Arabidopsis thaliana: one gene and its partner. The protein of the gene in region 1 purifies or fractionates together with the protein of each later gene. This does not show direct contact. Each region holds a gene or a part of one and is shown on either strand. Other genes may lie near its edges.

What was found. Proteins that work in one complex are often made in the same cells at the same time.
Region 2: the proteins of MET18 (region 1) and ASE2 purify together in Arabidopsis thaliana (affinity purification with western blotting; one study listed by BioGRID). This does not show direct contact.

What each region holds. Positions count from the first base shown.
Region 1 is NC_003076.8:19,508,698-19,517,434, forward strand, and holds the start of MET18 (ARM repeat superfamily protein), read right to left. Parts: upstream 6,199-8,737; 5' UTR 6,078-6,198; coding exon 6,003-6,077; intron 5,932-6,002; coding exon 5,869-5,931; intron 5,778-5,868; coding exon 5,723-5,777; intron 5,645-5,722; coding exon 5,547-5,644; intron 5,450-5,546; coding exon 5,291-5,449; intron 5,192-5,290; coding exon 5,132-5,191; intron 4,939-5,131; coding exon 4,750-4,938; intron 4,652-4,749; coding exon 4,598-4,651; intron 4,142-4,597; coding exon 4,055-4,141; intron 3,955-4,054; coding exon 3,249-3,954; intron 3,101-3,248; coding exon 2,721-3,100; intron 2,593-2,720; coding exon 2,519-2,592; intron 1,955-2,518; coding exon 1,849-1,954; intron 1,750-1,848; coding exon 911-1,749; intron 534-910; coding exon 458-533; intron 387-457; coding exon 275-386; intron 55-274; coding exon 1-54. Other genes in the region: AT5G48130 (Phototropic-responsive NPH3 family protein), read left to right, coding at 7,594-7,691, 7,790-7,859, 7,972-8,737. UniProt on the Arabidopsis thaliana protein: May select specific target apoproteins to which a Fe-S cluster produced by the cytosolic iron-sulfur (Fe-S) protein assembly (CIA) pathway is transferred.
Region 2 is NC_003075.7:16,573,335-16,579,033, reverse strand, and holds ASE2 (GLN phosphoribosyl pyrophosphate amidotransferase 2), read left to right. Parts: upstream 1-2,280; 5' UTR 2,281-2,454; coding exon 2,455-4,140; 3' UTR 4,141-4,490; downstream 4,491-5,699. Other genes in the region: AT4G34750 (SAUR-like auxin-responsive protein family), read right to left, coding at 1,016-1,468. UniProt on the Arabidopsis thaliana protein: Catalyzes the first committed step of 'de novo purine biosynthesis from glutamine. Required for chloroplast biogenesis and cell division.

The DNA of each region.
Region 1 (8,737 bases):
GCTTGATCAGGCATTCGATGATTATATGTGCATTATCACTGGCAGATTGTTGTCCTGCAAACAGATCAAATGGTTAATTCTCGGCAAAATTGAATATAAAATGTCTTTTTGAGGCTTATCAACTATTGCATTAACTCAACCATATACACAATCCCTATTATCAGTGGGCGCAAACGAATTTGAATCATATAAGAATTGTTTGATCTTCAACAAATGAAGCAAGATTTTATATAATGCAATAAGCTTTTGTATCCCAGCATCTAACTTTTCTTACCCTTAGTATCAGTAAGCGTTCCAGATAAAACCAGTAATAGACTGAAAAGAGTTTCTTTCTCCACAGAGTCCAAGCTTAAGACAGACAAGCCTTCCAGTATCAACGGTTGTAGCTGCACAGACCAATGTCTAATAAGAAACTGTTTAAAAAGGTACAAAAGACAAAGTCTAAATTAAGGCTCACCTTTTTGGTATTGTCCAATATGACTGTTACCGGAACATTGGATATAACATGAGCGAGAGCTACATGCAACATTGTTCTGAAAAAAAATGAAGAAACCAGTCAGCTGAGAATCAAATTTGTTGTTTGTCACAATAAACTGTAACTTGCCTATTTATGATATGTACTTGAAACTTGGAGCAACAACGAAGCCTAAACTAGTATGAGTTTATGTGGTAGCTACATCTAACCAAAATTAAACTAACAATCTTCAAGAGGTCTTCTTATTCTTCCAGAAAGGAACACTAAAACGGTTCTTGTGGGTGCAATTGCATTCTAGGGAAATGACATAGAAGGACTTAATGATGAAGACAGAGTACACACAAGAGCACCAAAGATGCTAATGACCAAACATTTTTCTATGAAAGAGTAGAACTATAAAAGAGTAACAATAAATATACTTAAAGATATATTTACCTCGATAGTGAAGTCTGGGAATTCATAATCAAAGACTCCAAAATGGGAACTATCGTAGAGAAACACCGCTGTTTATAGAGTGGTCGTATAACTGCATGGAATTTTCTGTTCAGACACACTTCCGAATCAGACATTATTATAGAGAATGCATCTGCTGCATGTTTCATGGCAGAAGGATGCAGCGCATGCCCAGAACAGTTATTGGATTTTAAACACTCTACTAGCACCAGAGCTATTTCATTAACTCTTTCATTGCCCCGCATGAGTAAACCTTTCCCAATCCATGCTAGTCCTGTGATTGCACGGGTTTGAAGGTCCAGAGAACCACAGTAACCTAAACATATCTTTGACATGGTTGTCTCACTTCCAACTATAATTTTAGCAGATCCATTAGAAGAAATCTTTTTTCCCGATGCAAAATCTGCGTGAAATATTATAGCACATGCTTCTTCCAAGGAACAATCCCTTGAGGTATTTGTTCCACCAGAACCCGAGCCCAATTTGTTAACCATTGAACCCAAAGCTTGAGCTGCTGGGATATAACCCTTAAGAAGTGTTACCAAAAGCAGATGTATAAGTGATTTCGCATCTGGAATGGATGCTGAGGGGGACGCAGCTATGATAACTGATGCAAATAGTGAAAGTATCAATTCATCCCTAGAGGACAAGTCACGCTGTAGACCCTCTAATGCAACAAAGGTCAAAGGAATAGACTCCATAGCTGGAAGCGTACAAGATGATACCACACTATAAGCTTTTTGGATTATACTGTTCTGTGAATCTACCAAAGCAATTCCTACAACTTGCCTCATCGTTGTCATCGCTGCCTCAACAAACTCCTGTTATAGAAGAGCAAATAAATTCATGACATCAAAAATAAATAAACCAAATCGAGTTCGAAGAGAAACAAAGAGTCTAAAGTTCATCTGAGCACTTACCCTACCATTAAAATCACAACTGAAAACTCCACAAAATTCAATTTGTTTCCACATACTGATAGCGAAATGCACCAAGAGTTGCTCGAGACCATCTATCTCAGCCACACTAATTGAGATCAGAACAAAATTCCACGAGTCAAAAGGACATGCAAAAGAGGAACGAAGAATATTGTTCTTGGCAGAGAGAAGGCATAGAGAAAAAGAATCTCCAATCAGATAAAAAACAGTGGAGCCATACACATGGATGCACCACAAATGTTTTTAAGTTTTCATCTTTGGAACGATAAAATTTGTAAATGAAGGAAAAAGACACAAAGAGGTCTCTATTTTGTAAAGGAATAATAGAAAAGACACTCGTGCTATTGCATTGCTTGTTGGTTTCCATGTGCTTATTATAACTCTCTGTTAGGTGAATGTGCCATCTATAGTTGTTTTCTATGTCTATTATAAAATCTTGACGGATTCTACCGAGTTACAAGGGGTTGACTAAGGGGAATAACACAATGAACCTGAACAGAGAGAACCTAAATACGCTACCAAAGTATGGCAGTTAACAAGTTGTATCATCCAGAATAGTTGGCTGTTTACGAACAACTAAAAGTCTAGATACTCACGCTGGCAAAGCTAGTTTATCTATGAGATAAAATAAATTCAAGAAAAGTTTGGGTACCGTGGAAGCAATTTGTTGGTCAAACACTTCAGGAGCTGAGAGCAATTGTCAATTGACTCGAAGTTTCCATTGACCTGACAAGTGGTTTCCAAATAGAAGTTAGATACAAGGAAGCTCTCGATCTGTTGCTTGTTGGAGATAGAAACTGTTAGATCAAATATAAGTGAAAACTTTATGGTCTAGTCACGGGGGTAACACATACATAGAAATCAGACAAACTGGAACAAAAAGCTTCTTCCAATCCTTGAACCATTTTCTCCACATACTTTGGTCCAGTGGAGCAAACTTCTGAAGTTGCTTCTAATATCATCTGATATGGAAGACCACAATGACTAGAACAGGCCAATGAGACCAAATTGTCGACAACTATACTCATGTAGCTCATAGCCTTGTCACTCTCATGATACCGATCAATAAATGAGCCGATACAGACCAGTGCCTTCAATGCCAATTCCCACACCACTGTTTTGCCACTCTTGGCTGTAATGATTGATGTTAATGTCACCAAAATATTCTCGAATTCGGTTCTCGATACAGGAGAAGAGCCGCCCCGAAACATACCCATAGTCAGCAAACCCTTAACTGTATTCATTAACAAAATAAATCATTTAGATAATAGGAATAAGAACATGGTAACCTAGAAAAAATTGTAGACCGAGTTCAGTATTAAGAAAAGACGGCAAGAACCACAAGATGGTGATATATCTATTAAGTAACCACAAGCATTCACCTCCAAGATATACATCCACAACAGAATCATCATTCGAGCGGCATACTGCAGAAGTGAACACCTGGATCAATGGAACTGAGAAGCTTTTCACCATAGAGCACCCTGAGTTTGCACATCCAGATGTTGGAGAACATTCCTCGAAACCCAGAATAAGATCTTTTGATGCTGCAAGAAGTTCAATGCATAGATGAAGACCTCCATGGTAGAGTCTGGTAGAGACTGTAGAGTTTCCGTTTTGAACAACATCGCCAGTAGAAGTTTTCTCTACAATCCCTAGAGTATTCATAAGGCGGAAAAATATGGCTTCAAAGATTATATTGCATGACTGAACCGAAGCTTTGGCAGAAACAGACAGTATCTGACTGATAACAAGAACCTCCAGTTTGCTTGGGTCAGGCATTTCTTTATACTGAGGGTATCTATAGATGGTATCAAAGACTGTGTTTATGCGTGTATCATCAACTACAAAACCTAAAAACGAGATATCTTGCTTAACAAGCCTCTGAAGAAGACTAACAGCATCTCTGTGGATCTCATTCATTTCAAACCCTGGACTAGTGAGGGATTCTATAGCAAATGACAAATGTGTCCCAGTAGAGGAATAAAATGTATCTTTCAAAGCAGACCAAAGAGCTCCATAGTGCTTCTTCATTCTGTCTACTCCATATTTCAAAGCGCAATCTTTCAGACATTTCAAAGAATCAACCTATACAGGTTTGAGTGGAACAAAAATAACTACACTTGTCCAACATCCGGAGTGGCATATAATCTAGATGTATTAACAGAAAACTACATGTTAAACGCACCTTTGCGACTGGTAGAGAAGAAGAAAGCTTTTCAAGAAGCAACGGAATAGCATACGGTTCAAAGAAAGGTGTCGAAGAGATCGCCAGCTGCAAATTGAATAAAGTACATCAGTGAATAAATTTAACCTAATGTTATACATTTATATATATATAAACAGGATTTATCATAATTCTCCCATTTTTAACCTAATACCATTTCAGCCATGCTTGAAACTGCAAGCCATACTTAGATGTAGAAAACAAAAATTAGTATTTCCATCTTCAAGGCATCTGTGCCCTCAGAAGCAGAGAAGCATATAAATTACCAGAGACAGGACAAGTCACTGTACTTTGCCTAACAGCTTTCAAAGAATGGACATGATATGCGAAATAGCTTTTCAGTCTAATCTTCATACCATTTTCTAAGGGTCTAAAACATTTTATTTTTAAGGAACTCCAAACCAGAATGATCAACTGATATTTAACCTTGAGAAACTAAGCCATTGAGCCACAATAAGCCAGCAAGAACTTTATGCAAATCATGAATTATGACACAATACTCACCAGTAGTCCCCTTGAGAGATCCTCTCTTCTAATATTAGCTTCGTCATCTTTTGTCTAATTAACCCAAAAAAAGAGCACACTAAACAGTTTAGTGAAAGAAAGAGAAACCCATCTATATAGCACATCATAAAAAGGATAGGCTTTAAACTCACATGCGTAAAATGAAGTGGGAAGTAGCAACCAATAACTTCAAAAAGATCAGATGCATCAGAAGCGAGTGGACCAGAAGGACTGGGGAACAAAGGAGCCAAAAGCTCTACTAGATGAAAAACTATCATTAAGCATTGAGGATCTTTTTCTCCGTCGATGGCTTCACACATAGCATAAACAAGTAGATCACCCTAGGAAATGGCCGTTTAGTCAATAGGATTACAAGAAAGTGAGGAAAGGTCCCGAGTAGTATTACAAATTTGGATACATATAAATAATTATTTGTCTTCCTACAAAGCTGACTCAAATAGATTTCCAAGAAAACATTCCTCACACAGTAGATCGAATGTTTAATTCTGAACTAAGTAGAGAGCATTAGCATACCATAGTCAAAATAGCTTCAGAATGTTGTTGTAAAAGGCACTCCAGAAGTTCAAAAGCGAGCTGCAAAGTCATTTAGCAGAAGATAATGAAAAAACCATCCAGCGTAGAACACAATCATTCAGATTAGATAACAGAATACTACAAATAACCGCTTCATACTTTGCGCTCATGCAGTGCTAAAGCTTGCACTTGCACATTCTGTATCATTGACTTCGCCATAGCTTGTACATCGATATCAGTAACCACACCAGCTACATCTTTCCTCTTCAGTAGAGCCAAACAACCAACAAGCGCCCCGCACATCGCTCTCCAATCTGCCTGATTCAAGTACAACAATCGTTTCACTTCTATGTTAAAACAATTGAATAGACACATTGGAATCGAGTATAATCAAACTTAAGAAGTATCAAATTACCAGCTTTTCGGAAAAGAATCCAACGAGCGTATGAACTATTGTATCGTTCAACGGCTTTGCTTTCAAACAATCGAGAATCTCCGCAAGCAGGAGAATACCTATAGTTATGAACACACCAATGTCCAATTGCGTTCAAATTGATAAGCTCATTAAACTAAGCTAGTGAATCGAAATACCTCGTGCTCGAACGAGGTTATCGGTTGTTGTCAAATACATCTCCATCTCTCTAACCTAAACATTAGCAATACAGAAATAAGCCAACAACACAAATAAAGCCTACGGAAGAATATTCAGAAGTTGTCAAGTGAGTGGAAATTGTTACCAATTGGGTAATAGATAAAGAATCATTCTCCAAAGAAGAAGCAATTGCTTTAAGACTATCATCCTGAAAACAAAATTAAACTTGGTGAATCAATGAAACTGTTGTTCTAAGTCTCAAAATTGATCAAAAGGTACCTGTTGAGAAGAGGAACGATTAGTGTCAACAAAAGTTTCGAGATGTTGAACGAGCTGATTCGGTTCTACCATCATCGCTACAAAAAGGGTTTTTAGGGTTTTTGATTTCTGAGGAGAGAGAGCTTCGCGAGCTCCGACGAAAAGAGGAAGAGAGGACAAAAAAAGAGCCGCCAAAGGAAGTGAAGGAGGAGGAAAACGAAGTGGTATTTTTGTAATTTAGATGAAAAATTATCGATATAACGTGGCGGATGTACATTGGTCGCTGAGTGTAAATATAGGCTCGCTTTGTTTTTGTTTTTACTTTTGGGCTTCTGATTATTTGGGCTGTTAGGCAATTTCCATGTTGTTGGGCCTGATCCCAAGAAATTAGAAATAGTACTTCGCTGGTTTTGGTATGAATTGCAGGAACTTTGTGCTGATGAATAGCATAAACCAAGTTTTAAGAATTAAGAGTGATTTTTTTTTTGTCAAAAAAAAAAAGAATAAAGAGTGATCAATTTTTTTTAAGGGAATTAACCGAATTTAGTCGTTTACGTGTTTTATTTATTTACGTATTGATTCTTTATGTCCTTTAGAGTTCAAATTTAAAGCTAACCGTTTAGGGCGTTTTCTAGAATTTGTAATGTTTCATATTGTTTTTGTTGGCATTTCTTTATCTATGTGGTTTAATAGAGTACACTTTAAATAACTTAAAGATAGCATAGAATACTAAAAATATTGCTGTCATTTTTACCAAAAAATCTATGTTAGCCTTTTTTTTTTTTGTCGACAAATCTATGTTAGTCTAGTAAATCCATTTAAATCTATGTTACATGTGTGTCAATATAAGTAATTCTCTAATAATTTCCTACTTTAGCCTCCTTTTCCCTGTTTTCTATGAGCGAATTCTTCCTAAGTAAGCAATACAGTACTTCGATTTCCTCTCTTGATTTTCTCGTAATGTACGATGGTTGCAAAAATATATATTTATATTCGTAGAAATACTCAAATCACTATTAATTAACGTATATTACATAACTCGAAGACCAGATCGTAACATCATAAATAAGCGTCACCAAAATGTCTGGTTAGAACTATTTAGAGTCTTGTTACAGTTAATGCATGAAAAAGAAAGAAAGTGTTGGAGTAAAAAACAAAAATGTTGTTGAAAAAAGCGAAGAAAAAATGTTATAATACAAGATTTTTCAACTCTTCTCAACACTCGAGGAACGTCGTCTTCAACTTCTTGCCTTGAATTTTGAGATCTTCTTTTTGAGCTCAACACTCGTGCGCATCTGACTTTGACCCAACATCTACTACGCATATATGTGTGTGTGCCTGCATGCAAGTAGCCATATTATAGTTTAATGTTTGATAAAAACGAAAACCAAAAGAAACTTTCTTTTTCTCAAATCTTCCTTAGCGTCCTCTTGTTTCGTGGATCCTAGAACCCTTTTTCTTCCTCTTCAATCCCCAAAACACGCAACTTTCTTCTTCAAAAATATAATAGTGAAGAAGAATAAATGAACGACCAAATGTCTCCAGTTTCATCATACCATATTGGTTTTGATATACTTTATCTACTTAGTTTTCACAATTTATATACTCAATAATGGAAACTTTCAGCCTCAAGGATTGTTCGTCCGTCGCCTCCAGCCCGATTTCTTCTCCAAATATCAGTACCCTTTTGAAAATCAAAGTTCTTTCTTGGTATGAATCTCAAGACTATCTTCGTGATGTCATATAACAAATCTGAATTATTCATGTTGTAGACTTATGTAATGTAACTGTGTGTGTGTGTGTCACAGGAGTAAAGAGACCGGTCTACCCGCGTCAGTACATGTTCGAGTTTGCAACAAGAGTTTTAACCTTCACAAGGTAATAATGATAATCAAATCTCTCTCTCAAGAAATTCTGTTTTCAACCAATACATGTAGCTTAGTGGTTTTTGTTAATATAATGCCTTACTTTTTTTGTTTATCTTTTGTAGAGTCTCTTGTGTGCAAAGAGCGGATATTTTAAGGAAAGAGAGGATCAGCTATCGGAGATCGAGATACCACAAGAGTTTCCTGGTGGAGCAGAGACCTTTGAGAAGATTATGCTTTTCATTTATGGCTGTCCAACTTTAATACATCCTTTCAACATCGCTGGACTACGATGTGCAGCTCAATTTCTTGAAATGACAGAGCAACATTCGACGGGTAACCTCTGCGAGAGATTTGACCTTTATCTAAACCAAGTTGTCTTGCAAAACTGGGATGACACGTTAGTTGTTCTGAAGAAATGTCAGGATCTAGTGCCTTGGTCTGAAGATCTACTCATCGTGAGCCGGTGCATTGAGTCTCTGGCTTTCACGGCTTGTATGGAGATTCTCGATCCCGAAAGACGAAGAGAAAAGCCAGTCATCATGCTTGAAGGTATGGTGAATCAACCATGGGAATATACAAACATAGAGAGAATAATAAACCAAGATACTTGGATCAAAGACCTCACGGATCTTCCATTCGAATTCTTCAAAAAGATTATTGGGTCGCTTAGAAGACAAGGTATGAAAGAAAGATATGTAAGTCCATTGGTCGCCCTTTACGCCAGTAAATCTGTAATACCTGAAGGTCAAACTAATACTGATATTCTGCAAAGAGCTCTAGATCTGCTTCTTACAAGAGACAAGGCATATAGGTTTGTTCCAGTTGGGTTTTATTTTGCGTGTCTTGCACACAATTTGAAGCATGACACTGTGTTAAAGCTGCAAGATC
Region 2 (5,699 bases), on another chromosome or scaffold:
ATTAGATAATGTTGGTCAAGGTAGGGAGAGATAATTTTAAAATTTAGAGGAGACAAATAGTCCACGATTATTTATTTTCTAATTTTCCACAAGTAAAAGTACTTTCTAATGTGATTAAAAATGTTCGGTCTAAAACATTTACATTTATTATGAAGGTATTTTTGACCAAACATATAACTTTTTTCTCTTTCAAATACACCAGTATAGCTAATAATATCACATAATTTTGCATAGATATCTACAAACATTAATTTGCTTGTATGATATTGACTTAGTAGCTATTCTTCATATAGTAAACGTAAATATATTTTTTTGGTGAGAATCATATATATAATATCTTTGTTTTCTATGTAACTTGTTTTTTTTTTTTTTTTGGTAAAAAATGTAACTTGGTTTTTCTTTACTTTCTTTGGTTTCTCATATCAAATCAGAGATGTTTACTGTTTTTGTTAAGTAATGTTACTCTAATTAGTGAAAATAGTGTTGAAACGGTAACTCTGAAATCAGAAAGGTATTTTGCAGATCATCTTTGGTTGTATAAACTGCAAATTAGGTTTGAAATCATCTTCTTGACCAAATATTTCGGTAACAAGAAGTCAAGAACTATAATGAGAAAATCAAAAAGCATCTTTCTTTAAGCAATAAACAAATAAATTGACAACAATAATTCCAAATTAATTTATTATTCCTCAGTTAAAATTCAGAAATCTGAATATACAAATTGAAAATAGCCAAGAGAAATATAAATAAGAATCTCTCGACCAGAATCAAAAATATCTAAATTAAAAACTGAGGGCTCCTCTCTCCAAAAAAACTATCTCCTTCATCAAATCTTCATCATTCTGGGACGACGACACTGGCGACAACCAAAAACAATATCAAACCCTAATTTTGCCATCTCCTTCCCAAAAACAAAGTCAAAAATCATTAAAAAAAATAGCAACGAAATTAAATTAAAACTTTCAAAATTAAATCTCTAACCAAAGTTTCAATCACATTCCGTTTGCAAATTTCATTAGCACACAGATTTTTCAGCAATCCCAGGAAGTAACGGACGAGATTCAACGTTGTTCTTCGCCAATCCAACATGACTACACCTCCGGAGATCCTCAAGCGTCGCCGCCGGAGGATTACCTCGTCCAGATGATGATGACGACTCACACCGAGTCACAATCGCAATAATATCCTCAAACAACGATTCATCACAAGGAATCGCTAACGGACCAACGTTAGCGAATCCATACTCTTCCTCAGCCTCAGCTAGAAGCCGTCGGAAAATCGGATGGTTCAAATGCTTAGCACGGACAACGTATCTCCGACGATTCTCACCGACGGAAACAGCAACGTGACCAGGAGGTACATCGGAAACAGGATCGTTGTTGCTAGATCCGATGTGAGCTTTTTTCTGCCATTGTTTAAGCATCTGACGGATCCGAACAACGCTTCCGATCTTATTGTTCTTCCCCATTGATATCGAACAATTGCTTCTTGTGGATTGCTTTTGCGTTTTTTGGCTCGCTTTTCCCCAGAAAATGAAGGGAAAGTTGGAGAGCAAAAAAAAAAAAAAAAAAAAAAGGTTAGAGAAGAGACATTTTTGCTTTAGGCGTTGCTTTCACCAAATTTTGGAATAATACGGCAAGCAGGGGAATATTGAAGGGAGCGTTACGGTATTTAAAGGTTAATCATTTAGGTTTCATTTTGCCCCTCTAACGTTTGCTAAATTACGATTTTACTCTTCTCTATTTATGGTTTTTTGATTTTTTTTCTCTTTTTTTTTCCTTCTTTATCTTATAAATAAAAGATTCATAGCTCTGTTTTTGTTTTCATTCTTTTTAACAAATTTTTTTCAGAAACAAAATTGGTCAACTTTTCATAATTGGTTTGTGTGTATTTTTTTTGGTAAGAATATTGAATTGATGCATATATCAATTTTTTTGTTTTTAATATATAATATCTTACTCAACACATAAAAGAAAATTAATAAATACTCAGATATCTTCTTCTTTATTTGATTTTCCTTAAGAATTTGAAAGAGCAGGCTTTTTACAAAGCCTCAAAGAAAAGCCCATATGGCTTTGGTTTGATGAATTAAGAATTGCTTTTCTCTAATTGTGTGCGCCCGACCCGCTTTGTATCAAGCCGACCCGTTTCGTTTTAAAAATGCATTTTGAGCCACAGAAAAGGGGACCCACCACGAAAAAAATAGAGATTCTCTTCTAAAATATCATCAAAGTACAAAGAATTTAAAGCCGAAAGAAAAATTGTTTAAAAAGATTCGCAGAAAAAAAAAAAAAAAGGGTGAGGCGGTCACTTCACTGACGACGTGTGCTATACATACACAGTCAAATACAACCCTTTCCCCAAATTGACCCCAAAACCAAAAACAAATCAGAAGAAAATTAAAATAAACCTAAAAGAGCAAATTTTTATTCGCATTGCTCTCAAAAATCATCCATGGCGGCCACCTCTAGCATCTCTTCTTCTCTATCTCTCAATGCTAAACCCAACAAGCTCTCTAACAACAACAACAACAATAAGCCTCACCGTTTCCTCCGTAATCCCTTCCTTAACCCCTCCTCCTCCTCTTTCTCTCCTCTTCCGGCTTCTATCTCCTCTTCTTCTTCTTCTCCTTCGTTTCCGCTCAGAGTTTCAAACCCTCTTACCCTGTTGGCGGCAGACAACGATGATTATGACGAGAAGCCTCGGGAAGAGTGTGGAGTTGTCGGAATCTACGGTGACTCAGAAGCTTCACGACTCTGTTACTTAGCTCTCCATGCGCTTCAGCATCGAGGTCAAGAAGGTGCAGGTATTGTTACCGTTAGTAAAGATAAGGTTCTTCAGACCATTACAGGTGTTGGTTTGGTCTCTGAGGTTTTCAGTGAATCCAAACTCGATCAATTACCAGGAGACATAGCCATTGGTCATGTCAGGTACTCGACTGCTGGTTCTTCTATGCTCAAGAACGTTCAGCCGTTTGTTGCTGGTTATCGATTTGGCTCTGTTGGTGTTGCTCACAATGGCAATTTAGTGAATTACACGAAATTGAGAGCTGATTTAGAGGAAAATGGTTCGATTTTCAATACTAGCTCTGATACTGAGGTTGTGCTTCATTTGATTGCCATTTCTAAAGCTAGACCCTTTTTCATGAGAATTGTTGATGCTTGTGAGAAGCTTCAAGGTGCTTATTCGATGGTGTTTGTGACTGAGGATAAGCTTGTTGCTGTTCGTGACCCACATGGGTTTAGGCCTTTAGTTATGGGTAGGAGAAGTAATGGAGCTGTTGTGTTTGCTTCTGAGACTTGTGCTCTTGATTTGATTGAAGCTACTTATGAGAGAGAGGTTTATCCTGGTGAGGTTTTAGTTGTGGATAAAGATGGTGTCAAATGTCAGTGTTTGATGCCTCATCCTGAGCCAAAGCAATGCATTTTCGAACATATTTACTTCTCGTTGCCTAATTCGATTGTCTTTGGTCGGTCTGTGTATGAGTCTAGGCATGTCTTTGGTGAGATTTTAGCTACTGAGTCACCTGTTGATTGTGATGTGGTGATCGCTGTGCCTGACTCGGGTGTTGTGGCTGCTCTTGGTTACGCGGCTAAAGCTGGTGTAGCGTTTCAGCAAGGTTTGATTAGGTCTCATTATGTTGGAAGGACTTTCATTGAGCCGTCTCAGAAAATCAGAGATTTTGGAGTGAAGCTGAAGCTATCGCCAGTCCGAGGAGTTTTAGAAGGGAAAAGAGTTGTTGTTGTTGATGATTCGATTGTTAGAGGAACAACTTCGTCCAAGATTGTGCGTTTATTGAGAGAAGCGGGTGCGAAAGAGGTTCACATGAGGATCGCGAGTCCTCCTATTATTGCATCTTGTTACTACGGAGTGGACACGCCTAGCTCAAATGAGTTGATATCGAATAGGATGAGTGTTGATGAAATCAGGGATTACATCGGATGTGATTCCCTTGCGTTTTTGTCGTTTGAGACGTTAAAGAAACATTTGGGGGAAGATTCTAGAAGCTTCTGCTATGCATGCTTCACGGGGGACTATCCGGTGAAGCCTACAGAGGATAAGGTGAAGCGAGGAGGAGATTTTATCGATGATGGTCTCGTTGGAGGAATCCACAACATTGAAGGAGGTTGGGTACGGTAGATAGCAGATATTCAAGTTCTGCATTATGATGATCAATTTTGGGTACTAATGGAGTAAGATGATGACGATATCTTGTTGAATTTTGTGTTCCATTTGACCTTAATTGCTGGCACATTTTTACTATTTTATTGAGTCTGGGATGGATTAAGATTTAAGGGTTGTTCTTGTCTGAATCTTTGAAAGGTTTTGTTTACTTTTGTCTCGTTAAGAATTCAAATCTTCTCTCTGTTTTCATTGCACTTTACTTAATCAGAAAATGTAATGGGTGATGTGGTATATGAGAGACATCTCTCTATTTACTAAAATTTGATTCGGTTATCGATTTGGTTATTTCGGTTGAATATGGTTTGAACTATTCCACGTCACCGTAGATGGTGCCAAATGACAACTATACCCTCAGAACAATGGATAAATTTGTTCTGTTTCGTTACTTCCTCAAATCCAAACACACAAAACAGAGGAATTTACGAGATTAAGGAACCATTGTGACGATGCCTAAGTTTCTACACACCCATCAATCTCACTTCTTCTTCCTCCATCATCAGACATTGTTGCTTGGATATTGAGAAGCTAGTCTTAGGTAGGTAGGTTCCTATATGAGTTTGAGTAAACGACGGTGATACATTTGAGTGTTGTTCAGCTAAACAAGCTTTTGAATGGTGAGCTTGTCTGTTTCAAATATGAGATACACGAAAGTTAGAGTAAGCCGACTAGATAAGCCATTGACATTTTGACCATGTCATTACAAACGGAAGCAGAGCAACTGGTTTATGGGGGCTTGTGCTTGTGGCGAGTTCTACGAAATTTTTGCTTGGAAAGGTAGTGATACGTTTAGGAGATGTGTGTGTTGTGTTGTGAATTTGCTTGTAGTTTGAGTAAGATTGTGCTAGTGGCATATTTTTCATTCTGTTTCGAGCATTATGTTAATACATGACTAGGTTTGACTTTTATAGATTTGTGTTACTTTACAAGGCTTGTTTTGTTGATGTTCCATCTCTTTCAACAAACACTCTAAATTGTGATTTGTGAACATCAAATAAATTACGTAGGTAGTAAGAAACATATTTGTTCTTGTAACGGTAACTTAATTTGACTTTTTGTTACATTGATCAATTTCCTTTTCTTCGCAAAACATAGAAAAAAGAGACAATTTCCTTTTTTCAATGGAGCGTTTGCTTATAAATACTCCAACTCTCGTATCTTCTTCTTCGTTGAGAAATCAAAATACCATCTTTTATCTTCTTCTTCTTCTTCTTCTTCTTTCTTTTTCATACCTGCAATTTCCCTGAGAGACTGATCACTGATGTGCTTTCGTTCTCTCGTGACAACAATCTTCAATCAATCGAGTTCACTTTTTAGTTCGTGACTCCCTAATTTCACACGATCAAAGATCTCGCCACCGAAACGCTTTCACCGAAGGATTCTTTCAACGGCGGCGAAGGAGATGATTACACGACGGAGAAGGATGCGCGGAAGACTATGGCCAAGAGAGGGATAGTGAAATTAACGACCAGTTGGCAGATTCGTAGGCTTTAAAACTACAATTCGACTGCGGAGGA